Linked DNA regions of Macaca fascicularis. The protein of the gene in region 2 purifies or fractionates together with the protein of the main gene of each other region. This does not show direct contact. Links are inferred from orthologs where the notes say so. Each region holds a gene or a part of one and is shown on either strand. Other genes may lie near its edges.

Region 1 (16,352 bases), on a different chromosome or scaffold from region 2:
GCCACTGCACTCCAGCCTGGTGACAGAGCGAGACTCGTCTCAAAACAAACAAACAAAAAAGTTAAACATGGGCAGGGCACAGTGGCTCATGCCTGTAATCCCAACACTTTGGGAGGCTGAGGCGGGTGAACCACCTGAGGTCAGAAGTGCAGGAGCAGCCTGGCCAACATGGTGAAATCACATCTCTGCTAGAAATACAAAAACCATTAGCTGGGCGCGGTGGCTTAATAGTACAAGGTTTTCTTCTGGGGTAATCAGCATGTTCTGGAACTTGATAGAGATGATGGGTACCCACACTGTGAAGGTACCAAATGCCAATGAACTGAACACCTTAAAATAGTTAAATTTAAGTTATGTCAAATTCACCTCAATAAGCTGGGTGGATCACTTGAGGTCAGGAGTTCGAGACCAGCCTGGCCAACATGATGAAACCCCATCTCTACTGAAAATCCAAAAACAATGGGTCAGGCGTGTTGGCACACACCTGTAGTTCCAACTACTCGGGAGGCTGAGGCAGGAGAATTGCTTGAACCTGGGAGGTGAAGGCTGCAGTGAGCAGAGATTGCGTGCAGCCTGGGTGACCAGAGCAAGACTCTGTCTCAAAAAAAAAAAAGAAAAAAAAAATTCACCACAATAAAAAATAAGTAAATAAAAAAAGTCCTGTGCCATGTCTCCATTTCAGAGTTTTATCTTTATTTAAGATTTTTTTCAACTCTATCCTATTCTATTTTAAGAAACCCATTCTACAGAAATACAGAAGTACATAGCAGCATAAGCATAGGTATCACTGTTATATTTTATTTAATAGTGAAAATTACATACATCAAAGAATGTCCCACAATACGTGAACGGCTAAATGTAATACTCTATAGTTAATAAAAAGAGTAAGCAGAACTGTGGGTATTGACACAAGAGATCCATGAAACTGCTCAGTAAAAAATCAAGAATACTAATAATCAAGAATACTGTAGAATACTAAGCTTAAAATAACTCCAGGCCGGTTGCGGTGGCTCAAGCCTGTAATCCCAGCACTTTGGGAGGCCAAGACGGGCGGATCACGAGGTCAGGAGATCGAGACCATCCTGGCTAACACGGTGAAACCCCGTCTCTACTAAAAAATACAAAAAACTAGCCGGGCGCGGTGACGGGCGCCTGTAGTCCCAGCTACTCGGGAGGCTGAGGCAGGAGAATGGCGTGAACCTGGGAGGCGGAGCTTGCAGTGAGCTGAGATCCGGCCACTGCACTCCAGCCTGGGCGGCAGAGCGAGACTCCGACTCAAAAAAAATAAAAATAAAAAAAATAACTCCATTGCTGAAATTTTTTGTTTTTTGAGACGGAGTCTCGCTCTGTCGCCAGGCTGGAGTGCAGTGGCACCATCTCGGCTCGGTACAACCTCTGCCTCCCAGGTTCAAACAATTCTCCTACCTCAACCTCCCGAGTAGCTGGGACTACAAGCGCCCACCACCACGCCCAGCTAATTTTTGTATTTTTGGTAGAGACAGGGTTTCACCGTGTTAGACAGGATGGTCTCAATCTCTTGACCTCGTGATCTGCCCGCCTTGGCCTCCCAAAGTGCTGGGATTACAGGTGTGAGCCACTGTGCCCAGCCTGAAAAAAAATTTTTCAACTGTGTGTAGGTGTATGTACATAAATACGTGTAGCACGTTTACATAAACATATCACTTTTTTTTTTTTAAAAAGGCCTGGAACATTATACACCAAGCTGTTAAAAGTGGGCAACAGGGGCTGGCGTGGTGGCTCATGCCTGTAATCCCAGCACTTTGGAAGGCCAAGGTGGGCGGATCACCTGAGGTCAGGAGTTCGAGACCAGCCTGGCCAACATGGTGAAACCCTGTCACTACTAAAAATACAGAAAAAGAAAAAAAAATTACCTGGGTGTGGTGGTACATGCCTGTAATCCCAGCTACTTAGGAGGCTGAGGCAGGAGAATTCCTTGAACCCAGGAGACGGAGGTTGCAGTGAGCCAAGATCACCCCACTGCCCTCCACCCTGGGTGACAGAGCAAGACTCCGTCTTGAAAAAAATTAAAAAGTAGGCAGCTGGAATTGGCTGAAAGGAGATTCATTTTCCCTACATATTTCTTCTTTTTTTTTTTTTTTTTTTTTTGAGACGGAGTCTCGCTCTGTTGCCCAGGCTGGAGTGCAGTGGCCGGATCTCAGCTCACTGCAAGCTCCGCCTCCTGGGTTTACGCCATTCTCCTGCCTCAGCCTCCCGAGTAGCTGGGACTACAGGCGCCCACCACCTCACCCGGCTAGTTTTTTTTTTTTTTTGTATTTTTTTTAGTAGAGACGGGGTTTCACCGTGTTCACCAGGATGGTCTCGATCTCCTGACCTCGTGATCCGCCCGTCTCGGCCTCCCAAAGTGCTGGGATTACAGGCTTGAGCCACCGCGCCCGGCCTTTCCCTACATATTTCTATATTATCTTAAATTGTTTTACAAACATGTATTAAATTTCTAATTTACAAATAAAAATTTTCATACTATTACTGTTCAACTGTCCTTTCGAGACAATGCTTATAAAATACCACTTTTCCAGATCACCCCAACAGCAAACTGCAGAAGGACGACCGACAGCAGGATAACTCACCCGAAAGTCCTCCCCTGGGAAGGGTCTTCGGCAGACTGTGCAGGTGGCAGAGGCAAACGTTCCATGAGCTTCAACCAGCTTTGAGGCAGGGATGCCCGACACTGAAATTCAAGCCAAAGCTAAGTGTTGCTGCTGCCTCCAAGATGAGCACACAAGTCCCAGAGCACAACTTCTGGGCTTGGCAGGCCTCCTGGAAGGAGGCACAACCCCGTTGGGTTGCGATGTCCTCAAGCCTGGTGTTCATGCCCATATCACCTACATGCACCACCAACCAGAATAAGGCAGGGGAGCAAAGGGGCGCCCAGCTGGAGCCAAATCACGGTTAAAACAAAGCCTGTCAAAACTCAGTACAAAACACCATTTGATAAAAGCTCAAATAAAATTATATCCAGTCGGGCACGGTGGCCCACGCCTGTAATCCCAACACTTTGGGAGGCCAAGGTGGGCAGATCATTTGAGGTTAGGAGTTTGAGACCAGCCTGGCCAACATGGTGAAACTCTACCTCCACTAAAAATACAAAAATTAGCCGGATGTGGTGGCGGGCACCTGTAGTCCCAGTTACTCGGGGAGGCTGAGGCAGGAGAATCGCTTGAACCTGGGAGGTGGAGGTTGCAGTGAGCTGAGATCGTGCTACTGCCCTCCAGTTTGGGCGACAGAGAGAGATTCTGTCTCTAAAAAAAAAAAAATTATATCCAGCCGGGCGCGGTGGCTCAAGCCTGTAATCCCAGCACTTTGGGAGGCCGAGACGGGCGGATCACGAGGTCAGGAGATCGAGACCATCCTGGCTAACACGGTGAAACCCCATCTCTACTAAAAAGTACAAAAAACTAGCTGGGCAAGGTGGCGGGCGCCTGTAGTCCCAGCTACTCGGGAGGCTGAGGCAGGAGAATGGCGTGAACCCGGGAGGCGGAGCTTGCAGTGAGCCGAGATCCGGCCACTGCACTCCAGCCCGGGCGACAGAGCAAGACTCCGTCTCAAAAAAAAAAAAAAAAAAAATTATATCCAATACCAGGCTGGGCACAGTGGCTCACAGCTGTAATCCCAGTGCTTTGGAAGGCCAAGGCAGGAGGATCACTTGAGGCCAGGAGTTTGAGACCAGCCTGGGCAACATAGTGAGACTTGTCTTTAAAAATTTTATAAATTAGCCAGGCATGGCAGTGCATGCCTGTAGTCCCAGCTAGTCCAGAGGCTGAGGCAAAAGGATCACTTCAGCCCAAGAGCTCAGGCTATAGCGAGCTATGATCATGCCACTGCACTCTAGCCTGGGCAAAAGAGCCAAGACCCTGCCTCAAAAAATTGTATCCAATATCTAGGAACACATTTTCTATTCTATACCAAGTTAAAATGAGGATATAAATATCATAAATTCCAAAAGAACGGCTTGGTAGAAAACCAGACAAAAAGTGACTTCCTATGAAGGCTGTGTTAGTGTTGTCATGGTCCCCGCTGTAGGAGGCTTCCCAAGTCCCTGTCGCTGCCCTAACTCAGCAGTGCTGAATCTCACAGCCAGGAGCTCCCGCCTTCCCACAAGGCATGCCCTGCTGCACCTCTGGGAGAAGAGACCACCAACATGGGGTACCCACTGCTGCCTCTGTGGTTCCAAGCTAGGGGATCCTTCTGGCAAGGAAACACATGCCTGGAGCCAAGGTGCCTCCTCTTTTTACCTGACAACACATCAGCAGACTGGCTGAGCCGCTCCTGGCTCCCGGAGGGCTGACTGTCCCAGCGCCTGTCCACAGCACTGCACTAAGGAAAAGGCCCCACCAAGTGCTTCCGCAAGGTGCACGGCCAGAAGGTGGCACAACCTGTGAACCGCTGGTTTGGGCACCATGTGGATATGGCCAAGAAATCACCACAGACTGGGTGTGACAATATTAAGGAATTACTAGTGATTCTTTAGCGTGAAAATGGTATCAGAGTTGGTTTTATTTTTTTTTAATTATTTTTATTTTTATTTATTTTTTTGAGACAGAGTCTCCCTCTGTCACCCAGGCTGGAGTGAAGTGGCATGATCTCGGCTCACTGCAACCTCCGCCTGCTGGGTTCAAGAGATTCTCCTGTCTTAGCCTCCCAAATACCTGGGATTACAGGCACACGCCACCATGCCTGGCTAATTTTTTGTATTTTTAGTAGAGATGGGGTTTTGCCACGTTGGCCAGGCTGGTCTCGAACTCCCGACCTCAGGTGATCCACCTGCCTCGGCCTCCCAAAATGCTGCGATTACAGATGTGAGCCACCACACCTGGCCGGAGTTGTTTTTAAAGTATCCTCTAGAGATATCCATTCATGTGTTTATAGATTATTTCTAGATTAAATTCATGATATGAGAGGTTTGCTTCAAAATAATCTGGGGATTTGGAAGAAAGTGGTGAGGACGCAGGAAGGACTGGCTATGTGCTGGTGATGAGGACAGGACGGTTCGTTACATTTTTCTCTTTGCGTGTGCTCAAAAAAATTCCATAATACAATTTTTAAAAGAGAGAAGAAAAAAGAGAGATCATCACACCAGATTGGCAAAACAATGTCAACTTCTGCCCAAAATACACAGCTCTGCAGGTATGTAGGAGAACAAGCAGTGGCCTTTAAACACCCAGAGACATTTTCCTTGGGAACAAAGCCCTAACTAGTTGGCTCAAAAACAGTCCCAAGGAAGAAGCACAAACACCAGGCTTCGGCCGTCCCCAGAAACAGGCACCTGAGCCTTCCCTGTGAGAAAAAGAATGTGTGCGACTCACAGAGGGCTCACCTCTCTCAAGCCCATCGATGTTCTGCGTGTAGAGCCGCAGAAGCAGCCCCTTGTCATGAAGCAGCCGGAGGAAGTAGTGAGTGATGTTGGGCTTATAGTTTCCAGGGTACAGCTCCTTGGCCAAAGTGAAAAAGGGCTTGGGGTTGTGAAAGAAGAATGGGAGTTCGAAAATGGCCTCGGGGTACGGGAGATCGTACTGCTGGAGGTTGCTGTACAGGCCACTCCCTGGAGATCTGCAGGGAGAGAAGACAGAGGCTCTGAGGCCTTTGCAAGAAACCGGGCAGTGGGGAGGGCAGGAGGCAGGGGAGGGGAGTGCAGAAGGCAGGTGGGACTGCGGGCAGTACCTGAAGTCTGGAATGCCACTGGGTGTGCTGATGCCGGCTCCCACCATGGCCACCACCCTCTGGCAGGCTCTGGCCCGAATCAGCTCAGCTACATCCTGCAGGGAAAGCTTCCCCTTGTCACTGTCGCCTCCACTTCCAACAACACTTGAAGCACCCACAGAAAAAGATATAGGCCTTCTTCCACCTTTAATACTGACAGAAAAAAACACAGCAGCAAAGGAAACAGATAGCGACCAGTCTCAGGATAGCAAGAAAGCATGGTTCTGCCCTCTGCACCACCCCCACCATCCAGAATGACCATGTATGTCCTCCCAGGCCTCTCAAAATAATCACCTTTCTCAGATGACTAGTGGGCTACAACGGAAAGCAGTCATAAATCAGAATCAAGACTTATTTGGGAGCAAAAATTTCAGGTTAATGGGAACTGTGCTCATTTCATAATTCAGTACACTCAGTAGGCACTCAACTCTCTGAGTGCAAACCTCCAAAGGGGTTTTCTTTTTTTTTTTTTTTTTTTTTTTTTGACACGGAGTCTTGCTCTGTGCCCCAGGCTGGAGTGCAGTGGCGCGATCTCGGCTCACTGCAAGCTCCGCTCCCCCGGGTTCACGCCATTCTCCTGCCTCAGCCTCCCGAGTAGCTGGGACTACAGGCGCCCGCCACCTCGCCCGGCTAATTTTCTTGTATTTTTAGTAGAGACGGGGTTTCACCGTGTTAGCCAGGATGGTCTCGATCTCCTGACCTCATTATCCGCCCGTCTCGGCCTCCCAAAGTGCTGGGATTACAGGCGTGAGCCACCGCGCCCGGCCCCAAAGGGGTTTTCTAATGAAAACTCGTCAAGTAGTCGAGAAGCAAAGAGGGAAAACCCTGGCTCTAAAACCATCTCACCACCTATTAAACGCCCCATTTCAGACATTTATTAACTTAAAGTCATTCCTCAAATAGCTACTGTGCTGCTACTAAACATGAACTGTTAAGAGAAGCATAAAGGAATGAAAGTTATTATGGCTGTTGAGTGCCTGCTGAGGCCAAGGTATCCCGAAGGGTGCCTGAGTACATTCCTCATCTACGTAAATAAAATGTTTGTGAGTCACTGAATAACATATAAACGGCATTTTACCAAATGTCTGGAACATCAGATGTATGGCTTAAAGTATATGCTGCATGGTGTGAAATTCACTGGGAGTGGGGGACCCTGAGGGGCAGGCATGGGGGCAACCTGGGAGGGACACTGTGCAAAGGACACAAAGAACAAATTCAGAGAGCTCCAAAATCCAAAGCCAAACTGCAGAAAGCCCATGCAATGGACTCCTCATAGGGAGCCCGGTGCCTCCTGCTTTAGGGCCAGTGGTAGCAAGGATTTGTTTAACAGTCTTGCAGAGTATCACTGATATTAGAATGCGCTCCATGTGTTTGTCGGTCCTGGTCCCCGCTCCATCCATAGCACCTAGAACAGAGTCTGGCACAGAACAAGAGCTCAGTCAGGGCTTCTTGGATGAATGACTGACTCTTCAGGATCTTTTGTTTGAGATGGAGTTTTGCTCTTTCGCCTGGGCTGGAGTGCAATGGTGCAATCTCAGCTCACTGCAACCTCCACCTTCCGGGTTCAGGTGATTCTCCTGCCTCCGCCTCCTGAGTAGCTGGGATTACAGGCGCCCACCACCACCCCCAGCTAATTTTTGTAATTTTAGTAGAAACGGGGTTTCACCATGTTGGCCAGGCTAGTCTCGAACTCCTGACCTCGTTATCCACTTGCCTCATCCTCCCAAAGTGCTGGGATTACAGGCATGAGCCACCATGCCCAGCCGACATTTCAGGATCTATTAAACTTTTTTTTTCTTTTTTTTCCCAGGTAGATAAGAGTCTTGCTCTGTCACCCAGGCTGGAGTGCAGTGACTCAATCATAGCTCACTGCAGCCTTGAACTCTTGGACTCAAGGGATCCTCTTGCCTTAGTCTCAGAAGTAACTGGGACAACAGGCTTGCGCCACCATGCCCGGCTAATTTTTAAATTTTTTGTAGAGATGGAGGTCTCATTATGTTGCCCAGGCTGGTCTTGAACTCCTGGCCTCAAGCTATCGCCCTGTCTCAGCCTCCGAAAGTGCTGGTATTACAAGGGTGAGCTACCACTTCAAGCCTCACTTTTCACCAATATTTTCAGCAGTGTGTCAGACAGCATCAAGTCAATGTACCATTATTTACTTAAATATTCATCCATCATAGGGCATTTGATACCTAACAACCATGGACCTTAAGATTTTTTCCTATGTAGGCTCAGCTCTTAGATGCAATTACTATGGAGACGGGTATGATCACATGGGGTGGGAGCATTAACCGCACAACATTTATGAGGGATAATTAAAGCGTTAAATGCATATACTTTTGGACCTAGCAGTCCCAGTACTAGGAATTTATGCAAAAAGTGAGGTGCAAACAAGGTTATTCACCACAGCATGATGTAAGTAACTAAAGGTTAGAAGATATTTCAATGGGGGAATGGTGAACTAAACGACAAAACCCCGTAAAGGACGTCCACAGATCAGCGTAAAGACGGGCGGGTGTTGGAACGGAAGTAACTCCCAGACATGCCTCAAAGGAAACACCGCAAGGTGAGAAAGGGGGGCGAGGTGTAGACAACGAACACGCAAGAAGTGCTTGTCCTTGCCCAAAATACCTCGAAAAGAAGAAACCGGGAGCTGCTGCCCTCGGCTGCCTCCGGAATGCCCTGGGCACCGCGGGTCTGGGAGGCCTCTGCAAGGGGCGCGCCGAGTCCAAGGGCTCACCGCGGACCCCGCGGCTGCCTCTCGGTCCCGCACTGACATCGTCCCTGCCGCCAAGCACCAGCCGACAGCTCCAGGCCTGGAACGGCCCCACGTCTCCCCCGGCCTCGGCCCGTTCAGCTACCCGGCCCCACACCCGGACGGCTGCCACGGCGCGCCAACCCCAGAACGCCGTGTTCCCCGCAGCCTGAGGAGTCCTCCGGACTCGCCCCGCCTCCGCCTCCCGGCCCCGCCTCCGCCTCCCGGCCCCGCCTCCGCCTCCCGGCCCCGCCTCCGCCTCCCGGCCCCGCCTCCGCCTCCCGGCCCCGCCTCCGCCTCCCGGCCCCGCCTCCGCCTCCCGGCCCCGCCTCCGCCTCCCGGCCCCGCCTCCCGGCCCCGCCTCCCGGCCCCGCCTCCCGGCCCCGCCTCCGCCTCCCGGCCCCGCCTCCGTGTCCACGCCTCCGGCGCGACCTGGTAGACGCTGAGGCCGAGTAGAGGAAGTTCCCTAGTCTGGTGTCTGACCTCTCGCCCAGGAGGTCAAACCTGGAGCCAGCATTTCTGTACCCTGCGCTCACACCTTTTTCAACCCGGATGGCGGTGACAGTTAATACTTTCTGAGCGCTTTTACTATGGTCAGGCATTATATTTACACCTAGTCCTCGCAAGACCCTACTGGGAAGGTCATTTGAGAGCAGCAATTCCGGGTCACAAAGGCTGACACCACAAAGCTAGTCCATGGCCGGTTCGACCACAGGCACCCATACTTTTTAAGCCTCAGTGGCACAACCAGGTGCGCGGGAAGCGGGCTGCAAACGCCGGAGAGTTTTGTTCCGAGCGCAGACATGCGCGGTTACCGGGCAACCAGCGGGCCCCGCCCCCCGGCCGGCTACGGCGCTCCCAGCCTGCCCCGCGCCGCGCGGCGCCGGAAGTGAGTGAGCATTTCCGGCAGACATCCCCGCGGGGCTGACATCCCGGTTGTTCTTCTGTGCCGGGGGTCTTCCTGCTGTCATGAAGGACGTACCGGGCTTCCTACAGCAGAGCCAGAGCTCCGGGCCCGGACAGCCCGCTGTGTGGCACCGTCTGGAGGAACTCTACACGAAGAAGTAAGCTCCGAGCAGACAGACGGGCCCTGGGCCCCGGCGATAGAGGGAGACGGAGGGGGCGGGCGGGCGGAGAGGCGGGCCCTTGATGGGCTGAGGGCGCCCAGACCCAAGTTGCGGGGAAACGGGGACGTGTAGCGACTGGCTGTGCCGGCAGGGTTTGCTGAGGAACCCCGAGTGGCAGGGTCGAGGAATAAGAAGGATGACAGACCACGAGGGCCAAGAGCTGTAGCCAGGGATGTTTGGGTCTGAGATTCAGTGCTTCCCTAACGAGGGACTGTGACTGAGGCTTCTGAACTCGTCTACCTCGGGTCTTACTAAGACGGTTCAGGGGAAGCCTTTGCTTTTAGCTCTGTATTCCAGCGAAACAAGCAAACACACTTTCAGAACCAGATTGCCACCCACTTTGAGAAACAGATCTTGGTGATTCGCGCTTAGCCTTGGCATGGTGTAACTGTATCCACAGTTATCTTTCTCATGGTCTGGAGTTGATAAACCAGAGGCTAGTGCAGCTTTGCTCTCTTCCCTATTCATTCTGCAACTGGTTGCACCCCGTCCCATTGTCTTTACCTTCCATTGTATTTCTCGCTGGGCTGTGTGCCCCTAGAAAGATCTTAAAGTTTAAGTTTGTTTAGAAACAGGATGAATTGCAGAGCCATTAAATTGTTGCTAAGCACTAATCTCCTTTTAAAATGATAGGATAAATTGCTGGCATTGGGCTGGAGCTATTCCATAGAAAATACATCTCCTGTAGTAACCTCCCTGTTAACCCTAGCATTTAATATAATACCTTTCACATAGATGTTCCATACATGTTTTGATGATGTTTAGCATTCAGCAGCCTTCTGCTATTAGCAGTTTTTGAGAGCAAATTAATGTTTGGCAAATAATGGTTTGTGTTGGATAGCACTTGGTAATTTTCAAAGCATTTCATATGCGTTATTAAATATTAGCCTTTAGGTTTTGGATGAAGCGCTATTTAATCCTTTATTCATCCTTTTCACAGAGGAGGAAACTGAAGCTCGTTTTAATTGTCTTCCCTGAGATACTAGCTAATAGGTAGAAGAGCCAGAATCTCAAGGTAGATATGTATGATTCCAAAGTTCTCGTTTCCAATCAAACCTCACAGTAACCCTCTGAGGTAATCTAGAATAATGTTCTCCATTTCATACCTGGGAAAACTGAGTCTTAGAGAGAAGTTAAGTGATCTTAAAGTGACATAGCCATTCAACAGCAGAGCCAGGAAAAGAACTCAGGTTTATCGCATCTGCTTTAGCATTCTTTCTACTACACAGTAGACACTGGTTAGTATGGATTTAGCATCTCTTACCAGAAATGCATTGGGGCGGCGGGGCACGGTGGCTCATGCCTGTAATCTCAGCTACTCGGGAGGCTGAGGCAGGAGAATCACTTGAACCTGGGAGGCAGAGGTTGCAGTGAGCCAAGATGGTGCCACCGCACTACAGCCTGGGCAACAGAGTGAGACTCTGTCTCAAAAAAAAAAAAAAAAAAAAAAAAAGAAAGAAGAAGAAAGAAATGCATTGGGGCAAAAGTTTTTTGGATTTAGTATTTTTTCGGATTTTGAAATATTTTCGATATGTGCTTACCCATTCAGTATCCATGAATCAAAAATCTGAAATCTGAGATGCTCCAATGGTCGTTTCCTTTGAGCCTTACGTTGGTGCTCAGAAAGTTTTGGATTTTGGAGCATTTTGAATTTTGGAGTTTTGGATTAGAGATACCCAACCTATATTTGTGACTTGATAGGATCATCAAGGCTGAAGGTGTCTGTGACTGGATATTAGGTTAGAGGTCTTAAGGGCTGTATGTTTTTCAGGTTGTGGCATCAGCTGACACTTCAGGTGCTTGATTTTGTGCAGGATCCGTGCTTTGCCCAAGGAGATGGTCTCATTAAGGTAAATAATTTGCGATACCAGGTCAGATTATATGAATGTGCTCAAGGACTTTTTAAAATAAGATGGGCTTTTTGCTAATAATAATAATAATAAGCTACAATTCTTCAGAAGTCCCTTTATGTCAGGTACTGGTCTGAGTGCTTTACACGTCCTTCCTAACGACGCTGCTCAGTAGATACTACTTTCATCTCACTTTTTTGATGTAGAAGCAAACGTAAGACTTTAAGTAACTTACTATAGGTCACTGCTAATAAGTGGCAGAAGAGGATTCAAACACTAACATTCTGGCTTTTTCTAAAATTCTGGCATAAAGTACTATCTTAAAACATGCCTGAGTATCTTAGTTCATAGGCTTCTTTTTAGTACTCTATTTTTAGAAAACTGTTATTAGATACAAAGTTCAAACCCAGTTAGAGGGTGGAGTAAGGTGTGAGGAAGATTACTATCTGTGGGAATCTTAGATAACTTCCATCACTCCCCTTCTTTAAGCCACACTGACTGCTTTCCCAGACACTTCTGTCCTGGGTAGTGTGGAAGATAAAGCACCTTTTGTACTTCGGTTGAGGGTAGGTGGGTTGGAGGGAGAGTTCTGAATAGTGTCATGCTGCCTCTGTAATAGAGGACTTCTAGAATTTTTTCAACAGTTTAAAAAAACGCAGTTTCTTTCCTAGCCTTCCCCAGATCCCCTGACACATCCCCACAAATTTGCTCACTGGTAGCCTCCTCTTTGAAGTTTTTCCTGACATCTTACTCTCATTCTGAATGAAACAGAGATTCACACCAGCATTGTAACTGATAGCTTATAATTACAGCTTGAGTCATTTCTCCGGAATACATTACTTTTATATGCTCACAACAGAGCTTACCACCTTACTACCCCACCACCTGGGCTTGTAAGATTTTCTTGTGGTTTATAGCCATCAATTTGACATTTTACTATTTAGAGGAACTTAAAATCATCTGTAAGCCTGGAGATTTTGCTGAACATTCAGTCTTCTGGATTATGTGGGAAAATGATAAATGAGACCTGCCTTTTTTTTTTTTTTTCTTTTTGAGACGGAGTTTCGCTCCTGTTGCCCGGGCTGGAGTGCAATGGTGCGATCTTGGCTCACTGCAACTTCCACCTCCCGAGTTCAAGCGATTCTTCTGCCTCAGCCTCCCAAGTAGCTGGGATTACAGGTGCCCACCACCACAGCTGGCTAATTTTTGTATTTCTTAGTAGAGATGGGGTTTCACCAGTGTTGGCCAGGCTGGTCTCAAACTCCCGACCTCAGGTGATCTGCCTGCCTCGGCCTCCCAAACTGCTGGGATTGTAGGCAGGAGCCACCGTGCCTGGCCTGAGACCTGTCTTAATACTTGTTCCCTGAGGTTCTAAATCATCAGGATAGATGATTCCTAATTGTTTATCTCTGTCCTTTGGCTTCTTATCTTTAAATCACTTTTCTACACGTGGCAAAATATGGCCGCAACCTCACGGTAAGGTGATGTTTATTTAAGTTGGCAGATCTGAGTTTACTTTTCCCATGGACAGAATAAACCTTTAAAAATTGTTGGGATCCAGTCGGCATAAGTGTAAATGGATATTATTTGTGAAATTCTAGTATTTGTGAATTTCTAGTATTTGTGAATTTGTAGTCACCAGAAGTAATTTTGACTTTCTGGACTTAGTGGGCTTCTTTTTTAAGGTACTTTTTTAGATCAATAGATGTCAGGAAAGTTCAAACATTTCCCTCTAATAAGGAAAATATCTTTGAAATAGTCTCTTGTAGCAAAAATGCCATTTTTAAAATTTTATTTATTTATTTTTTTATTTTTTTTTTTTTTGAGACGGAGTATCGCTGTGTCGCCCAGGCTGGAGTGCAGTGGCCGGATCTCAGCTCACTGCAAGCTCTGCCTCCTGGGTTTTTACGCCATTCTCCTGCCTCAGCCTCCCGAGTAGCCGGGACTACAGGCGCCCGCCACCTCGCCCAGCTAGTTTTTTGTATTTTTTAGTAGAGACGGGGTTTCACCGTGTTAGCCAGGATGGTCTCGAACTCCTGACCTCGTGATCCGCCCGTCTCGGCCTCCCAAAGTGCTGGGATTACAGGCTTGAGCCACCGCGCCCGGCCAAAAATTTTATTTATTATTATTTTTTGAGACAGAGTTTCGTTCTTGTTGCCCAGGCTGGAGTGCAGTGGCACAGTCTTGGCTCACTACATCCTCCGCCTCCCTGGTTCAAGCGATTCTCCTGCCTCAGCCTCCAGAGTAGCTGGGATTACAGGCTCCCGCCACCACGCCTGGCTAATTTTTGTATTTTTATTAGAGACAAGGTTTCACCATGTTGGCCAGACTGGTCTCAAACGCCTAACCTCAGGTGATCCACCCACCTCAGCCTCCCAAAGTGCTGGGATTACAGGTGTGAACCACCACCTGGCCACCATTTTATTTATTTTGGGGGGCAAGGGGACGGAGTCTCACCCTGTCACCCAGGCTGGAGTGCAATGGTAGAACTCAGCTCACTGCAACCTCCGTCTCCCCAGTTCCAGCCATTCTCATGCTTCAGCTTCCCAAGTAGCTGGGATTACAAGCATGTGCCACCACACCTGGCTAATTTTTGTAGTTTTAGTAGAGATGGTGTTTCACCATGTTGGCCAGGCTGGTCTTGAACTCCTGTCCTCAAGTGATCCACCTGCCTCGGCCTCCCAAAGTGCCGCATTACCGATGTGAGCCACAGCCTCGGGACACAAATGCCATTTTATTTAGTTGGCTGTTTCTTGTGTGCCTGATTCAAACATGTAATTGCTACAGGGGTGTGTTCATCCTTCTACCTTCGTATCCCAGAGGAACTACAGGCTCTCCTAATCCAAAGTTAAGGTCATTTGGAGGGTCCCTCTCCCACTGTGCCCACACTAGGCACTCTTTTGGCCCGGTTACCCAGGCCATAAGCTCAGGGGTTATTGTCAGCTCTCCTTCTCTGTGACCAGCCCACATCTGAGTGAGTCTGCTTCAAGTTACCCCTAAATCTCTCTCAGAGTATTCATCCATCCTCATTACTGTTGCTCCTTCACGCTCCTGTCTTGGCCACTACTAGCCTCTGACTGTTCTCGGTCTCTTTCACCTGCTGTCCTCTCTGCCCCAGGCATGTTTCTAAAATAGAAATGATCATGTGGGTCCTCTGGTTCAGCCTTGCACTCTGGACAGAGACCAATCTTCAGTGCTTCCTAGTCTGTGTCCCTCAGAACTACTCCTGAAACATAATGTATTTTTGTCTTCAGTGCTTTTGCACATGTTTGTTACTGTCTGGAATGTTCTTCTCTCAGCTTCTTCCTCTCCCACACCACGTGGCCACCTCTCTAACTGTGCTCATTTTCCCGAAACTCAGTATTGCCACTTCTGCAGTAACCGTCTTTGAAGCTTCTCCCTTTGGCTGATGCACTTCTGTGCTTTTTCTTTCTTTCTTTTTGCACTTAAACTCACTGTATTGTCATTTATTTGTTTAAAGACTGTCTTCAGTAGACCAGGAGCTCCTTGAAGACCCATCATTTGTCTTACACGTTCTGTGCTGTACTACCTAGCATGGAGTCTGAGGAAGTGCTCAAGTGTGCTGAGTGGCTAAGAAATTTCAAAATGGCGCACAATTAGCTTTAACCTTCTAAAATCTGAAGGAACTCCATTCCGTTTGATTAGCGAGCATTTCTTTTTTGTTTCAAATTTTATTTCATTAATAGGTGAACAAAATGTGTATTTCAAATCTAATTGAAATTTATCTGAAATATGTTTACGCAGAAGATAGATATAAGATTTCAAGTAACTTATTGTATAGGCCATTGTCCGTTTTAAAATATTTTCTTCCAAAAAAAATGCATTGAAAGTCAAAAAACTTATTTTATACTCCATAAAAGTGAGGTGCAAACTTCTGATACAAGGTTATTTCACTGTCAACTCTGATAAAGATGGGAGGCACAAGGGTTCACAGTTCAGGTAAATAATGCAAACGAAACGCTTCTGTTTTCCTTTGATACAAATTAGAAGCCTCCATTCAGGTCTCTTAATGGAGGCTACTACGTACTTCAGGTCTCTTAATGGAGGCTTTTGCATACCAAGTAGTACCACATACTTGGTGCTGATACTACATTATGTCTTTTTCTTTTTCTTTTTTTTTTTTTTGAGATGGAGTTTCGCTCTTGTTGCCCAGGGTGGAATGCAATGGTGCGATCTCAGCTCACAGCAACCTCCGCCTCCCAGGTTCAAGCGATTCTCCTGCCTCAGCCTCCCAAAGGCACGTGCCACCACACCCAGCTAATTTTTGTATTTTTAGTAGAGACGGTGTTTCACCATTTTGGCCAGGATGGTTTCAATCTCTTGACCTCGTAATCCGCCCACCTTGGCCTCCCAAAGTGCTGGGATTACAGGCGTGGGCCACTGTGCCCCGCTTGTTACGTCTTTTTCTTTCCTTTCCCTTTTTTTCTTCCCTCTCCTTGTTGAAGACTTTGGTCACTGCCTCCTGCTTTTCCTGTTTTTTTGTGTCCTTGTTTTTAGTTGAGGTATCGTTTATGCTGCACACAACGTTACTGACTTCATGTGATGGGAAATGTGCAAGACAGAGGCTGCCATCTCCCGTCTGAGCTGGGCCCAGACTCTGCCTTTGTACTAGACATCACAATTCCATTCTCTAGAGTACATTCTCTTTTTCTCAAGAAATGCATTAAGTCCAACTGCTGAACATAGGTCTTGAACCTCTAGCTGTAGGATTTTCAACAGACTTACTTATGGGGTTTCACCTTCCTTGCACAATGGTCTTCTTATTACTTCAACAAACAGGATAGATACAAATAAACCTGTCCTGGTCGGCTGGAGACCACACAGCGGCACAAGCCGTCTTCACAAGCATCCAAATACCAA
Region 2 (16,252 bases):
AATGCCTCCTTTGGTTACAGTTTCAGCAGCACTCCTTTCAACCAATACTCGGTCAAAGAGTGGAAGAAACTTTCTAAACGCTTGTCCTGCCTGTAGGAAGAGAAATGTTTTGAAACAAAAACTAAATGTAATCATATTATCAACAGGCAACGCCACCGTGTTGTATACATCTCAACACGTTTTGGCTTCGAAAGTTAACACCAAACCTCAGCTTATTCGTTAAGGAAACGCATTTGAATGTACTAACCAATATTCCAAGTTTAATTCCCGATTCCTTACATCTGTTAAGGGTCGTTGTCGCTCCTCTGGTGAGCAACCAGACCAGCTTTAAGGTCAACCTTAGTTTATCCAAGGTCAAATGTTTTCCTTCTTCAGGGTTTTCCAGAAATTTTCAAGAAACGCTGGGTCAATCTCCCTGCCTGGCACCATGCTTTTTACCCAAGATATTACACATCCACAAAGGCCCTGCAGAGCAGGTGGGACGCTGCGCTTGCATCCGGGTTCCCGCCACCTGCCTTACACACCCGCAGCACACGCGCGTGCAAAGAGCCCCCGGAGAAGAAAAGGGTCGGGCAGGCCTTGCCGCTCCAAGGTGCCGGCGGGCGCTGGTCACTGAGTGGCCACCAATCCCTCCCGCCTAGCCCAACAAAAGAGGGGCGTCAGTGATCCCCGTACGCCTCAGACAGGCCCGGGCCTGCGGGCTTCGGTGCCACGCGGGACTCACCATGACTCCCTCCGCCTCAGACTCGTACTCTGCTCTAGTGTAGCGCCGCAAGGAGAGACTCGCGGCAAGGAGAGACTCGCGGCGCAGCCCTGGCGACACGTGAAAAAACCGCCCAGCGCGCAGGCGCGCTCGCCCCAACCCCCGCCGCTAGCCCCCTCGCCCCTCCCCGCGAGAAAGGGCGGTCGCCCCGACGCGCGCCGCGATTCGCCCCAAGGGCCCTGCGCAGGCCGCTGACGCGAAGACTCGGAGGCGGAAGAAAAGAGGAGCTGTTTCTAGGCTTTTCTAGGCGCCCAGCCGAGGTGAAAGAACTACCCCTTCGTCCCCTCCCGGAAATGACGCGATTTTACCCTTGACCCGTAGGGAGCGCGGCACTTTCCGGAAAGTTCTGGAACTGAGCGCGGCCCGGGAACTAGCCTAAGCCGGCGGGAGAGGGCTGAGCGCGCTAGCACACCCTGCGCGGGTAGGGAGGGGCGGGGCTCGCGCGCAGGGTGTGCAGATTGCAGGGGCCCGGCTGACGGGAAGGGGGTGGGAGCTGCCTGCACACGTGGTGCCCCGGGGCGGGGGGAGAGGCGGAGGGAGGGGACACGGGCTCATTGCCGTGTGCGCCCTGCACTCTGTCCCTCACTCGCCGCCGACGACTTGTCTCGCCGCGCGCACGCCCCGCCGCCGCCCCGCAGGTATGCGGCCTTCCCACGCCGCCTTCCCCGGCGCCTGCGACCCCCAAGTGGGCCTTCCTCCTCTGAGGTCCTGCTGGAGGATGCGGGCGACGACAACCTGGAGTTCTGCACCGCACCGCAGGCCCAGGCCCACGGGTCCAGGCCTCCCGGGTCCAGGCCTCCCGGGTCCATGCGGGTTCCATCACGTGCGACGCGGATCCTGGACCTCGGCTGGGCGCAGGAGGGACAACTCACGGGGATTGAATTTGGGGGATTGTAGCCACTTAGGCCCGCTGGTGCAACCCGCGCCTGGTCGACTTCGGGGAACCGGGGAGGGTGGTGTACGCGAGGGAACCGCTTTTTTCCCCCGCAGCTAGCTGGGATACCGCGCCTTCACTCTTGACCTTGCTGGGGGCGTTCGGAAAGACGTGGGCCCGCGCCGAGTGGGCCGGGCCGCCGCCCCCAGCATCGCGGCCTTGCTGGCTGCTCTGATACAGTAGCCTTGGGTGGATCCATGGAGATACTTTGCTGAGCTGCTTTTTGCACCGCCAGGAATACTTTCAGCTTCCCTGGTCACTGGGATTTGTAACTTGCCTCTCTCCGGCTGACTTGGTTTCTCAGGGGCCACAGTTGGAGTGGGTCTGCCCACAAGGCCGTTTTCGCGGTGAAAGATTAACTCGTTTTTGGCGGCAGGGATAGGTGGCCGTGGGGAAGGAGCTGCATGTGCTTTGTGCTAGTGCTATAGGTCAGGCGCCGGGGCGGCTCTTTAGCTTGCGGTAGTGGCTGATGTTCCGAAGCTGCGGCGCCTTCCGTCATTCAGGTGTAGTGGCTGGCAGAGGTCAGCCAGGCTCACCATCTCACGTTGCTTGCTCTGTTGCACAGGTGCGCATGTTTGTGCTGCAGCGCATCATAGGTGGTAGTACTGATTATCTATTTGCTTCCATCCCCAGAAATGCTTCGGTTACCCACAGTCTTTCGCCAGATGAGACCGGTGTCCAGAGTACTGGCTCCTCATCTCACTCGGGCTTATGCCAAAGATGTAAAATTTGGTGCGGATGCCCGAGCCTTAATGCTTCAAGGTGTGGACCTTTTAGCCGATGCTGTGGCCGTTACAATGGGGCCAAAGGTATCAGTATTTTTATTTTATTATAATTATGGTAGTATTAATAGCATTTTGCTCACAAATAGTCGCACTGAACTGTTGAACAGTACTTTCGTATCCATTTTTGAGAACTCAGTTTACATGTAAGAATTCTGAAGTATTGGTTAACTTTTTTTTTCTTAGACATGATCTTAAAGCTTAAACTGCTTCAGCCAGATTTTCGAAACTAGTTTGTTCAATGTGTGATGTAATCGGGTAGTAACATAGCTCAAGATGGATTCTTAAACTCGAGGTAGAATTTTGCTTGCCTAAGTTAAAATTTGGATCCTTTCTGAGTAGTTCATGCCAAGTGTAGAGAGAAGAGTTTAACTTATCTTCCATAATCCCTCAGGTATGTGCTTGTAGGTGCTAAATTTTTTTTTTTTTTTTGGTTTATTGTAAAATGTACACAACATAAAATTACCATTAAGTGTGCACTTTGGGGACATGGGGACATTAATTACATTTATGTTGTGCAGTCACCACCACCATCCATCTCCAAAACTTTTTATATGGGAAAATTGTAATTTTGTACTCATTATACAGTAGCTTCCCATTCTCTCCTCCACCTCAAGATGCTAGTTTTACCTATCGGTTTTCTGCTGTTCTCTTGTTCCGAAGCATATTTAAAATAAGTCTCATTTAATAGGGGTAATATTTTGAGGGGGGCTTTGAAGGTGGTGTGCGGTCAAGTGGTGCTTCATTTCAGTTTGAAGACAGTTCAGATATCAAGTGATCCAAACAACTGCATAAAACACAACATTTGCACACCTCACGAATAGAAAGTAGCAGCTTTAGTTCAAATCCAAAGGATGGTCAATAACTGTGCCATGGTTGAAGTTGTATGTTGAGTGAACTTGGAAGAGCACACTACTTGCCTTGATGGTTAATATTTTAAACGAATTTTAAAACAAGTCACATTGCTTTAAAAGATAACAGGCACTAACTAAAACTTAGGTATAAGTGATAGGAAGATTGTTTTATTCTTTGTCTTGTGTTCTTGTTCATTTTATAAGATGACAAATTTTAGTCCCTAGTATTTTAATCTTCTAAATTACTTAGTTCAAAATTATGCTCTTGGCAGAGAAACAGGTCATTCTGTCTGTAGACAAAGAATGTCGATAAACTTGCCCTTGAGATTCATGCTGCAAGACTGATAAAAATGACACAACTTATGTGGAGACTTTGAAGTAGTTGCTTTATTATGAAGACTGCTCATTTTTTAAAATATAAGTAATCCTTAGGGTATGTGTGATCCTGTTACATTTTTTTTCTTGTAGGGAAGAACAGTGATTATTGAGCAGAGCTGGGGAAGTCCCAAAGTAACAAAAGATGGTGTGACTGTTGCAAAGTCAATTGACTTAAAGGATAAATATAAAAACATTGGAGCTAAACTTGTTCAAGATGTTGCCAATAACACAAATGAAGAGGCTGGGGATGGCACTACCACTGCTACTGTACTGGCACGCTCTATAGCCAAGGAAGGCTTCGAGAAGATTAGCAAAGGTGCTAATCCCGTGGAAATCAGGAGAGGTAGGAATGTCTATTGTCACTACAGTGTTCTAAACTTCAGTGTGCTTTAAGGCATTGATTCCTTGGAGCTAAGGAGAGTGTCTGTTACTTTAGGAAATTGATCCTTCTCTCATTCCTCTTGGCCTGGAGAAATCTTAAACTGGGTTTTCCTTTAGCAAGTAGTGATTGAATGCCTGGCTGTATGGTGGGTAGGTACTGTTAGGTAATTTTGATGTTTTACTTAGTTGGTTTCTTTTGTTTTTAGAGACAGGGTCTTGCTCTGTAGCCTAGGCTGGACTGCACTGGAACTCCTGGACTCAAGCAATCCTCCTGCTTCAGCCTCCAAGTAGCTGGGACTACTACAGGCACTCACCACCATTCCTGGCTAATTTTTAGTTTAGTTTTGTAGAAAGTAAGATTGAATACACTGGATCATTCAGAATGTCAGAAAGTAATGTTTTTTGTTTTTTGTTTTTTGTTTTTTGAGACGGAGTCTCACTCTGTAGCCCAGGCTGGAGTGCAGTGGCCGGATCTCAGCTCACTGCAAGCTCCGCCTCCCAGGTTCACGCCATTCTCCGGCCTCAGCCTCCAGAGTAGCTGGGACTACAGGCGCCCGCCACCTCGCCCGGCTAGTTTTTTGTATTTCTTTAGTAGAGACGGGGTTTCACGGTGTTAGCCAGGATGGTCTCGATCTCCTGACCTCGTGATCCGCCCGTCTCGGCCTCCCAAAGTGCTGGGATTACAGGCTTGAGCCACCGCGCCCGGCAGAAAGTAATGTTTTCCTCAGTTTATTTTTTTTTATTTTTTTGAGACAGTCTCGCTCTGTCCCCCAGGCTGGAGTACTGTGGCGTGATCTACGCTTACTGCAAGCTCCGCCTCCCAGGTTCACGCCTCCCAAGTGAACCTCCTGCCTCAGCCTCCCGAGTAGCTGGGACTACAGGTGCCCACCACCATGCCCAGCTAATTTTCTTTATTTTTTAGTAGAGATGAGGTTTCACCGTGTTAGCCAGGATGGTCTCGATCTCCTGACCTCGTGATCTGCCTGCCTCGGCCTCCCAAAGTGCTGGGATTACAGGCATGAGCCACCGCGCCCGGCCCATTAGTTTATTTTTTCTTAATAGCACACACCGTGTTATTGGTTTGTGTTTTGTTAGTGCTTGTAACTGGAGTGCAACTTAATTAACAGATTTGCTCCTCAGCATGAACTTCATGGCAGTGTAGACTTAAATTCTAGTCCCATCTTTGTCATTTATTAGCTGTGTGCTAAGACTTGGTTTTCCTATCAGCAGAATTGCTGTGTATATCCAGCGTATGTTAGGGTTGAAACCAGGAACCCTCTTGTGAGTGAAGGTGGGGGAGCTATTGATAATTTTTTGTCAGAATTGGCATACTAATGTATCATTACCTCATATATTTCAATGTTTATGGACCAAGTGACTACACTTCACTAAAAGCAATTTTTTTTTTTTTTTTTTTTTTTTTTGAGACGGAGTCTCGCTCTGTAGCCCAGGCTGGAGTGCAGTGGCCGGATCTCAGCTCACTGCAAGCTCCGCCTCCCGGGTTCACGCCATTCTCCTGCCTCAGCCTCCCGAGCAGATGGGACTACAGGCGCCCGCCACCTCGCCCGGCTAGTTTTTTGTATTTTTTAGTAGAGACGGGGTTTCACCGGGTTAGCCAGGATGGTCTCGATCTCCTGACCTCGCGATCCACCCGTCTCGGCCTCCCAAAGTGCTGGGATTACAGGCTTGAGCCACCGCGCCTGGCTACTAAAAGCAATTTTACTGTAAATCACTAACAAGTATTAAGGTTATGAAGAGGACTTCCCAACACTTTGCATTGGATTTTTTTTGAAGTAACATTTCTCAAACAACAAGAGAGCTAGCACTACTCCCAGTTGAGCAAAATAGGACTGTTAAGAGTGATGTAAAACAAAAATATTTTGTTAGTTCATAATACATACTAAATTGAGGGGTTTTCAGATAATTGACACCTGCAGAGGCATAGTCACAACAGATTCCTATCACTTAAGAACTATACTTCTTGTTGAAAATAAGGGAGTGTTAACCATTTTGGTCCTTTTTTGCATCATCTAATGGACATGAGAAGTGTTGGGGACCCTACTGAAAACAGGCAGCATGATTGAGTTAGGAATAATTTGCATAGGATGAGTTCAGTGGTGAGACTCTTGAAACTATACATATCTACCTTGTTTTAGTCCTATTTTCTTTTTTTTTTTTTTTTTTTTTTTTGAGACGGAGTCTCGCTCTGCCACCCAGGCTGGAGTGCAGTGGCCTGATCTCAGCTCACTGCAAGCTCCGCCTCCCGGGTTCACGCCATTCTCCTGCCTCAGCCTCCCGAGGAGCTGGGACTACAGGCGCCCGCCACCTCGCCCGGCTAGTTTTTTGTATTTTTTAGTAGAGACAGGGTTTCACCGTGTCAGCCAGGATGGTCTCGATCTGACCTCGTGATCCGCCCGTCTCGGCCTCCCAAAGTGCTGGGATTACAGGCTTGAGCCACCAGGCCCGGCCTTAGTCCTATTTTCAAAATTTTGGCATTGTGAGATTTTATTTACTGTGTGAACCTAAAGTTACTGTTTAAGTACATGCCATGCAACTCTGTGTTATTAAGAAGCACTGTCTCAGAAGCTGTGTGTAAATTTAATATTAAGGCACTAAAGACCAAGCATAGGTACATGCCTGTAATCCCAGCTACATGGGAAGCTGAGGTGGGAGGATCACTTGAGCCCAGGAGTTCAAGACCAGCTTTGGCAACATAGTGAGACTTTGTCTACAAAAATAAAACGAGCTGAGCACGGTGGCTTGAGCCTGTGGTCTCAGCTGCTCCCTTGAGCCCAGGGTGTCAGGGCTTCAGTGAGCCGTGATCTGTGCTACTGCACTCCAGCCTGGGCGACAGAACAAGGCCCTGTCTCAAAAAAAATAATAAAAATAAATTTAAGGCATTAAAATATTTGTAACGAATCTCAAGATTTCTACTTGACTTAGAAGCCATGAGAGAAACAAACATTGTAATGACATATTGTTGAACTAGGTGTGATGTTAGCTGTTGATGCTGTAATTGCTGAACTTAAAAAGCAGTCTAAACCTGTGACCACCCCTGAAGAAATTGCACAGGTAAGGACTTAACATGTTATATGTGTTTTTAAAAAAATTTAATGGCATGTGTAATTTTTTTTTCCTTGATCACACCAATGTCAGAATAACAATACTACGCAATCATCAATATTAGAATCATTGTTTCTTACTGCTAAAACCTTTGAAAAGAATAGTGACCCTAATGGTTGTCATTTAGTTCTGCATGTGGTTGTCATTTTATTTTTTTATTTTTTTATTTTTATTTTTTTGAGACGGAGTCTCAATCTGTCACCCAGGCTGGAGTACAGTGGCCGGATCTCAGCTCACTGCAAGCCCCGCCTCCCGGGTTTAGGCCATTCTCCTGCCTCAGCCTCCCGAGTAGCTGGGACTACAGGTGCCCGCCACCACGCCCGGCTAATTCTTTGTATTTTTAGTAGAGACGGGGTTTCACCGTGTTAGCCAGGATGGTCTCGATCTCCTGACCTCATGATCCGCCCGTCTCGGCCTCCCAAAGTGCTGGGATTACAGGCTTGAGCCACCGCGCCCGGCCGTGTGGTTGTCATTTTAGTTCAACATGGCTGTAAAATGGATTTGTATGTTGTGAAAATGTTCTTAGCCATTGTCAAAGGTGCATAAATTTTGTCAGTTTGTAATGAAGTCAGCATTTTTAAACTTTTTGTTACAAGAATAGTTTTGTTTTTTGTTTTTTTTTTTTTTTTGAGACGGAGTCTCGCTCTGTCGCCCAGGCTGGAGTGCAGTGGCCGGATCTCAGCTCACTGCAAGCTCCGCCTCCCGGGTTTATGCCCTTCTCCTGCCTCAGCCTCCTGAGTAGCTGGGACTACAGGCGCCCACCACCATGCCCGGCTAGTTTTTTGTGTTTTTTTTTTAATAGAGACGGGGTTTCACCGTGTTAGCCAGGATGGTCTCGATCTCCTGACCTCGTTATCCGCCCGTCTCGGCCTCCCAAAGTGCTGGGATTACAGGCTTGAGCCACCGCGCCCGGCCAAGAATAGTTTTATATATCATATTCTTCAAAACAATGTAGTCAAATAATGAATCAGAAAAGAGCAAAGAACCAGTGTTTCATGAAAACTACCATAACGTAAATTCCCCTTCTCTCCCCTGAATGGAAGTATCAATTTGGAAGTTACTAGGAAAAGGTAAGGGAACTGACTAAGGACACCACCCTTACCTTTTATTGAAGAGTAACTTGATTATTTCAGGTTGCTACAATTTCTGCGAATGGAGACAAAGAAATTGGCAATATCATCTCTGATGCAATGAAAAAGGTTGGAAGAAAGGGTGTCATCACAGTAAAGGCAAGTGTGTTTGTATTTTTAAAGATAGTTTGAGTTATCTGATGATCAAAAGTTTGAGTTATCTGATGATCAAAACTGAATTTTCCAAATAGAAAAATTCTGTGTTTTAAAAACAGTGCTTTTTTATTCCTTCATATGTAGTCTCAGCACATGTATAGAATAAAGTACTTACTGTGTTTTATGTGAATTCGCCTTTACTCCATGAAATGAATCCATCTTAACTTAAATGATTATTCAAATAAGCACTTCTTGGAATTTTTTGCAGAAGTGTAATTGGATGTCCTGGGCTTTTTCATACTCCACCCTACATCTCTTATGGCCAGAGGAGTCTGTTTTTATTAATCTGGCCTGTAATTCCATGTTTTGTTTTCAATGAAATCAATATACCTAATTCTTTGATATTTCATAGGATGGAAAAACACTGAATGATGAATTAGAAATTATCGAAGGCATGAAGTTTGATCGAGGCTATATTTCTCCATACTTTATTAATACATCAAAAGGTAAGAACAAATCAATAACTGAGTAATTATTATTATTTTTTATTATTTTAGGCAGAGTCTCATTTTCTGTGGCCCAGGCTGGAGTGCAGTGGCGAGATGCAGTGGCGCATTGCTTACTGCAACCTCCGCCTCCTGGGTTCGAGTGATTCTCCTGCCTCAGTCTCCCGAGCAGCTGGGATTACAGGCACACGCCACCATGCCAACCTGATTTTTGTATTTTTAGTAGAGATGGGGTTTCACCAAGTTGGCCAGGCTGGTCTCTTAACTCCTGACCTCAGGTGATCCACCTGCCTTGGCCTCCCAAAGTGCTGGGATTACAGGTATGAAGTACCATGCCTGGCTAATTTTTGTATTTTTAATAGAGACAGGGTTTAGCCATGTTGACCAGGCTGGTTTTGAACGCTTGGCCTCAAGTCATCTGCCTGCTTTGGCCTACTGAAATGTTTAAAATATACTTTCTTAATGTGTGTCAAACTATAGGTATTAGTTGGTGTCATACTCTAAAAAATAAATGTGTATATTCCAAAAGTTAATGCATATTAGACATGAAGGAGGAAAACAAACTCACTGATCAATTTTAAAATGTATTGGAACCTTGGTTTAGCTTTTCACTTAAATACATTGCAGTCATTTTTTGTATATTTTTGAAATCTTCATTATTTTTACAGGTCAGAAATGTGAATTCCAGGATGCCTATGTTCTGCTGAGTGAAAAGAAAATTTCTAGTGTCCAGTCCATTGTACCTGCTCTTGAAATTGCCAATGCTCACCGTAAGCCTTTGGTCATAATCGCTGAAGACGTTGATGGAGAAGCTCTAAGTACACTCGTCTTGAATAGGTAATAGGCAGTGGTATTTGATGATTTATATTTCTGGGTCAAAGACAGAATTATTTCTGTTTCTATTCGCAGTCTCCATCATGTGTACCTCCACATTTGATCCAGTTGTGTTTGTATCTAGAATTGTCATTGTGTAAATCAGATGTGCTCTATGTATCCTTATGGTTCTGTTTTTGAAAGGGACCCCAAATTCTTTACTATTTTGCCCAGCTGTCACGTAGAACAGACTGATTTAGCACATTGGTACCTTTCTATATTTTGCAAGTGTTTACAGTTGTTTTGAAGGTACATGACTGGATCTTGTAATTTTTTTGTTTGTTTGTTTGAGATGGAGTCTCACTCCATGGCCCAGGCTAGAGTGTAGTGGCATAATCGTGGCTCACTACAATCTCCATCTCCTGGGTTCAAGCAATTCTTCTGCCTCAGCCTCCCGAGCAGCTGGGACTACAGGCATGTGCCACCACACCTGACTAATTTTTGTATTTTTAGTAGAGACAGGGTTTCACCATATTGACCAGGCTGGTCTCAAACTCCTGACCCGTGATCTGCCCACCTTAGCCTTCCAAAGTGCTGGGAATTACAGGTGTGAGCCACTGCTCCCGGCTTGTAATTTTTTTTTTTTTTTTTTTTTTTGGCGACAGAGCCTCAGTCTGCCTCCCAGGCTGGAGTGCAGTGGCTCAATCTTGGCTCAAGCCTCCTGGGTTCAAGTGTGAATCTTTTTTTTTTTTTTTTTAAAGGTTTTTCTGGTTAAAAATATGTATATTTTCAGAATATTATTTTGCATAGAACAGGGAAGTAAACAACTAACATTCCAAATAACTCAAATGGGCCAGGCACAGTGGCTCACATCTATAATCCCAGCACTTGGGGAGGCACAGGCAGGTGGATCACCTGAGATCAGGAGTTCGAGACCAGCCTGGTCAACGTAGTGAAACCCCATATCTACTAAAAATATAAAAATTAGCAGAGCTTGGCGGTGCACGCCTGTAATCCCGGCTACTCAGAGGCTGAGGCAGGACAATCGCTTGAATCCAGGAGGCAGAAGTTGCAGTGTTCCGAGATTGTGCCACTGCACTCCAGCCTGGGCAACAAAGTGAGACTCTGTCTCTAAATAAATAACTGAGATGTAAGTGTATTTCACCATCGAATATTTTTTATTTGTTTTGAGAGACAGACTCTGTCACCCAGGCTGGGCTGCTGTGGCATGATCATAGCTCACAGAAGCCTTGAACTCTTGGTGTCAAGCAATCCTCCTGCCTCAGCCTCCCAAGTAGCTGGGACTACACACTTGCACAAGCACACTTGGCTGATCTTTTAATTCTAAGGGCATTATTAAAATGTTTGTTCTTCCTTATCTGAGAATTGAAGTATGTCAGAAGCAAGACTTTTCTTTCCATTTCATTATAGTAGAAATGCACAAATTAGGAGGTATGTTTTAGACATTACATGTGTTGATGTGACGCAAAAGCTCTAATGAGCTGCCTTACCCTGGAACGTTTTTCTTAGCTTGGATTTGCTTTGTTGGAGGGATTAAGAAAAGACTTGGCCAGGAGCGGTGATTCATGCCTGTAATCTCAGCACTTTGGGAGGCTGAGGCAGGTGGATCATGAGGCCAGGAGATGGAGACCATCCTGGCTAACATGGTGAAATCCCATCTCTAGTAAAAATACAAAAAAAAATTAGCTGAGCGTGGTGGCAGGCACCTGTAGTCCCAGCTACTTGGGAGGCTGAGGCAGGAGAATGGCGTAAACCTGGGAGGCAGAACTTGGCAGTGAGCCGAGATCTCACCTTAAAGACTTGAGGCCAGAAAAAAACAAGTCTACGGAGTTTTCATTAGGCCATTTAACTGCTAGTTGAAAACTGGGATATCCAGTTTACATAGCATATAGCTTATTCCTCTAATTTTTATTTGGGTCCTTAATAAAATAGACCAGCTGTCTTGAAGTTTGAACATTCCTTCTGTTTCACAATCTGTTCTCAAATGGACATTTGATTGCACATTCTAAGTATTCATTTACCTGGCAAAAATTTCAGGTGAGCTTAACAATACTGTCAGCTTTTTGTATAACATTTATAAAAGAAGTGAATTCAGAACATTGCTCATTCAAAACTCAGCATTAATACAATCTATGGAGTAGATGTTTATTAAATGACCCTCAAATGTAGTATTTAGTAATTATTTTTCTACCATTCATAATAGTTAATCACTGTATCCTATAACTTATTGTGATGTGATTTTTGCTGCTCAGCCTCCCGAGTAGTGGGGATTACAGGTGCCTGCTACCGCATTTGGCTGATGTTTGTATTTTTAGTAGAGACGGGGTTTCACCATCTTGGCCAGGCTGGTCTCAAACTCCTGACCTCGTGAGCCACCACGCCCGGCAAGGCCAACAGTTTATTAAGAAGATAAACAGATATGAACAAGTATAGATTAATAGAAAATAGCCTTAACTGTCTCACATCTTTCCTGTCTTAATTTGATCAAAAATTGCTAGGAAGCAAAAAAAAAAAAGCAAAAACCAAACCAGATTACTTAGGGAGTCCTAAGTAATCTAAGTAGTAACAGAGCTTGAGGGGAATTTAAACAGAGGCATTTTTATTTCATTTAAATCTTACTGTCAACTATTCTTAACAGGCTAAAGGTTGGTCTTCAGGTTGTGGCAGTCAAGGCTCCAGGGTTTGGTGACAATAGAAAGAACCAGCTTAAAGATATGGCTATTGCTACTGGTGGTGCAGTAAGTAAAATAAATGCGATAATGGTTTGCTGAATGTTTATACTTGTCTGAAATTTATAGATAGTTTAACATTTTTCACAATTAGATACTACAGCTATCTGTTTCTGTTGGCTCTTTGGAAGGTAGGGGTTGGATTAAATTCCCTTTAATTAGCTACGAGGCCACGAGTCTGGCCTAAGAATGGGCTTTTATTGACTATTCTATATTCACTAAATCTTACTGACTGAATAAGGGGTTTCTTTTTTTTTTTTTTTTTTTTTTTTTTTGAGACAGGGTGTCTTGATCTGTCACCCAGGCTGGAATGCAGTGGCACAATCTTGGCTCACTGCAACCTGCGCCTCCCGGGTTCAAGCAATCCTCCTGTCTCAGCCTCCCAAGTAGCTGGGACTACAGGTGCAGTACCATGCCCAGCTAATTTTTTTACTTTTAGTAATGGTGGGTCTCACTATGTTGCCTAGGCTTCTCAAACTCCTGGACTCAAGCAATATGCCTGCCTCTGCCTCCCAAAGTCCTGGGATCTGTTTTCAGTTTTGAAAGATAAAAGTGTGTGCTACAAATGATGTAGGACTTGAGAGTCAAGGCCTATGGTCTTGTCCTGGCTCTACCAGTAAGTGTGACCTTGGATGTTTTTTTCTCAAGTAAGGCTAATAATAATTACCAGAGTTGGGAGAATTGAGAAGTTGGAAATGCAATGGAAGACTATACTCAAGTCTTGTTCTGGACTAACAATGATCTTACAGTCTCTCATTTCAAAGAATATTTCAAGATGATTCTCTTGCCTGGTATATTAATAAACTTGGTATAATGGTAGAAACTGTAACCTACAGCTGGTTTACGTTTAACTCATTTTGTAGGTGTTTGGAGAAGAGGGGTTGACCATAAATGTTGAAGACGTTCAGCCTCATGACTTAGGAAAAGTTGGAGAGGTCATTGTGACCAAAGATGATGCCATGCTCTTAAAAGGAAAGGGTGACAAGGTTAAAATTGAAAAACGTATTCAAGAAATCATTGAGCAGTTAGATGTCACAACTAGTGAATATGAAAAGGAAAAACTGAATGAACGGCTAGCAAAACTTTCAGATGGAGTAGCTGTGCTGAAGGTAAGATTCATTATTATGAATAAGTTTTTTGGGTTCTGAGTCCAAGAATGATTGTCCTTCTGTAGTATTCCCCAGTAGTACCATGGAACTAAACAAATATTTGAGGAATTAATAGTGGAATTTTGTTTTGTTTTGTGGGTTTTGTTTTTTTTTTTTTTTTTTTTTTGAGACAGAGTCTTGCTCTGTCGCTCAGGCTGGAGTGCAGTGGCTGGATCTCAGCTCACTGCAAGCTCCGCCTCCCGGGTTTACGCCATTCTCCTGCCTCAGCCTCCTGAGTAGCTGGGACTACAGGCGCCCGCCACCACGCCTGGCTGGTTTTTGTGTAATTTTTTTTAGTAGAGATGGGGTTTCACCGTGTTAGCCAGGATGGTCTCAATCTCCTGACCTCATGATCCGCCCGTCTCGGCCTCCCAAAGTGCTGGGATTACAGGCTTGAGCCACTGCGCCCGGCCTTGTTTTGTTTTAAGCCCTCCGTCACCTAGGCTGGGATGCAGTGGTGCAATCTTGGCTCGCTGCAACTTCCGCCTCCTGGGTTCAAGCAAACCTCCTGCCTCAGCCTCCCGAGTAGCTGGGATTACAGGTGCTTGCCACCATGCCTGGCTAATTTTGTATTTTTCGTGGAGACAGGGTTTCACCATGTTGGCCAGGCTGGTCTCAAACTCCTGACCTCAAGTGATGCACTCACCTCAGCCTCCCAAAGTGCTAGGATTACAGGTGTGAGCTACCATGCCCACCCCAGGATTGCTTTTTAAGTAAACTGCTTTTAAATGACTTGGCAATTAGCATCTTGAATGAAGAGGCCATACTAACTGAAATTCTTTCATCTTTAGGTTGGTGGGACAAGTGATGTTGAAGTGAATGAAAAGAAAGACAGAGTTACAGATGCACTTAATGCTACAAGAGCTGCTGTTGAAGAAGGCATTGTTTTGGGAGGGGGTTGTGCCCTGCTTCGATGCATTCCAGCCTTGGACTCATTGACTCCAGCTAATGAAGATCAAAAAATTGGTAAAAAGTTACCTTTTAAATGAGTTTGTGGCCTGATTTTAGTGTTTCTGTTAGAATAATAATGTTGCAGTCCCCTAAATGGAACAGCACATCCATTTCCTGAATAACAGAAGTAGAATAGTGCTAATGTCAGAGCTAAACATGCATCACATCTTTTTCAGAGGAAATTATTTGACCTGTAGTAGGATTGGGATTTCCCTACATCAATATCCTCACAAATTATAAATGTGTTATAATATTTACAAATGAAAGTATTAAAATTTTGCTGAAATTTCTTTGTAGGTATAGAAATTATTAAAAGAACACTCAAAATTCCAGCAATGACCATTGCTAAGAATGCAGGTGTTGAAGGATCTTTGATAGTTGAGAAAATTATGCAGAGTTCCTCAGAAGTTGGTTATGATGCTATGGCTGGAGATTTTGTGAATATGGTGGAAAAAGGAATTATTGACCCAACAAAGGTAAATAGTTGAACACTTTCTAAAAATTCTTTTGTTGTTCATTTTGTTAATATCCCCACATCCCAAATCTTTGGTCACCAGAAAAATAGTCTAATAGCAGTAGCAACAGCAGTAGCACTTGTGCCCATCAACAATTCTCATGTACATCTTCAGAACCTAGATATTTATTTATTTTTTTATTTTTTATTTTTTTTTTTTTGAGACAGAGTCTCGCTGTGTCTCCCAGGCTGGAGTGCAGTGGCGTGATCTCGGCTCACTGCAAGCTCCGCCTCCCGGGTTCACACCATTCTCCCACCTCAGCCTCCCAAGTAGCTGGGACTACAGGCGCCCGCCACCACGCCCGGCTAGTTTTTTGTATTTTTAATAGAGACGGGGTTTCACCATGTTAGCCAGGATAGTCTCGATCTCCTGACCTCGTGATCCACCCGCCTCGGCCTCCCAAAGTGCTGGGATTACAGGCTTGAGCCACCGCGCCCGGCCGAACCTAGATATTTAATACTCCACTAAAAGGAAGGGGGATTCCTTGAGTAGCAGTTGAGTCCATGCCTGGAGGCAGGAAAAAATCAGGATGGATCTGGAACACCCTGTTCCTGCCTGGCCAGTAAGAATACTTTCCAAGATACCCAGAACAGGGTTTTGTTTCATTTTTGAGACAGAGTTTTGTTCTTGTTGCCCAGGCTGGAGTGCAATGGCACGATCTCGGCTCACAGCAACCTCCACCTCCTGGGTTCAAGCGATTCTCCTGCCTCAGCCTCCTGAGTAGCTGGAATTATAGGCATGCGCCACCATGCCTGGCTAATTTTTGTATTTTTAGTAGAGATGGGGTCTTACCATGTTGGCTAGGCTGGTGTTGAACTCCTAACCTCATCTACCTGCCTCGGCCTCCCAAAGTGCTGGGATTACAGGGGTGAGCCACCATGCCCAGACAGAAATTTTCAGTAAGTCTTGCTCATATTTTACTAAGGGAAAACTAATGTTTAATTAAACTTTTTTCTAGGTTGTGAGAACTGCTTTATTGGATGCTGCTGGTGTGGCCTCTCTGTTAACTACAGCAGAAGTTGTCGTCACAGAAATTCCTAAAGAAGAGAAGGACCCTGGAATGGGTGCAATGGGTGGAATGGGAGGTGGTATGGGAGGTGGCATGTTCTAACTCCTAGACTAGTAGTG

The links.
Region 1: the proteins of HSPD1 (region 2) and SIRT3 purify together in Homo sapiens (affinity purification with mass spectrometry; 3 studies listed by BioGRID and IntAct, counting the BioPlex papers as one, with this or other methods). This does not show direct contact. The link is inferred for Macaca fascicularis from reciprocal best matches to the Homo sapiens genes HSPD1 and SIRT3.

The regions. Positions count from the first base shown.
Region 1 is NC_088388.1:111,520-127,871, forward strand, and holds the start of SIRT3 (NAD-dependent protein deacetylase sirtuin-3, mitochondrial), read right to left. Parts: upstream 9,336-16,352; 5' UTR 9,300-9,335; coding exon of another isoform or gene 9,220-9,299; 5' UTR 9,097-9,219; coding exon 8,978-9,096; intron 8,666-8,977; exon of another isoform or gene 8,371-8,665; intron 5,893-8,370; coding exon 5,701-5,892; intron 5,590-5,700; coding exon 5,357-5,589; intron 2,711-5,356; coding exon 2,610-2,710; intron 1-2,609. Other genes in the region: PSMD13 (26S proteasome non-ATPase regulatory subunit 13), read left to right, coding at 9,464-9,558, 11,393-11,471.
Region 2 is NC_088386.1:93,103,718-93,119,969, reverse strand, and holds the start of HSPD1 (60 kDa heat shock protein, mitochondrial), read left to right. Parts: upstream 1-870; 5' UTR 871-1,023; intron 1,024-1,094; exon of another isoform or gene 1,095-1,184; intron 1,185-1,342; exon of another isoform or gene 1,343-1,401; intron 1,402-2,330; 5' UTR 2,331-2,332; coding exon 2,333-2,506; intron 2,507-3,801; coding exon 3,802-4,054; intron 4,055-7,081; coding exon 7,082-7,164; intron 7,165-8,348; coding exon 8,349-8,444; intron 8,445-8,853; coding exon 8,854-8,947; intron 8,948-9,615; coding exon 9,616-9,784; intron 9,785-12,419; coding exon 12,420-12,519; intron 12,520-13,373; coding exon 13,374-13,619; intron 13,620-14,449; coding exon 14,450-14,624; intron 14,625-14,906; coding exon 14,907-15,085; intron 15,086-16,082; coding exon 16,083-16,235; 3' UTR 16,236-16,252. Other genes in the region: HSPE1 (10 kDa heat shock protein, mitochondrial), read right to left, coding at 1-90, 725-727. UniProt on the Homo sapiens protein: Chaperonin implicated in mitochondrial protein import and macromolecular assembly. Together with Hsp10, facilitates the correct folding of imported proteins.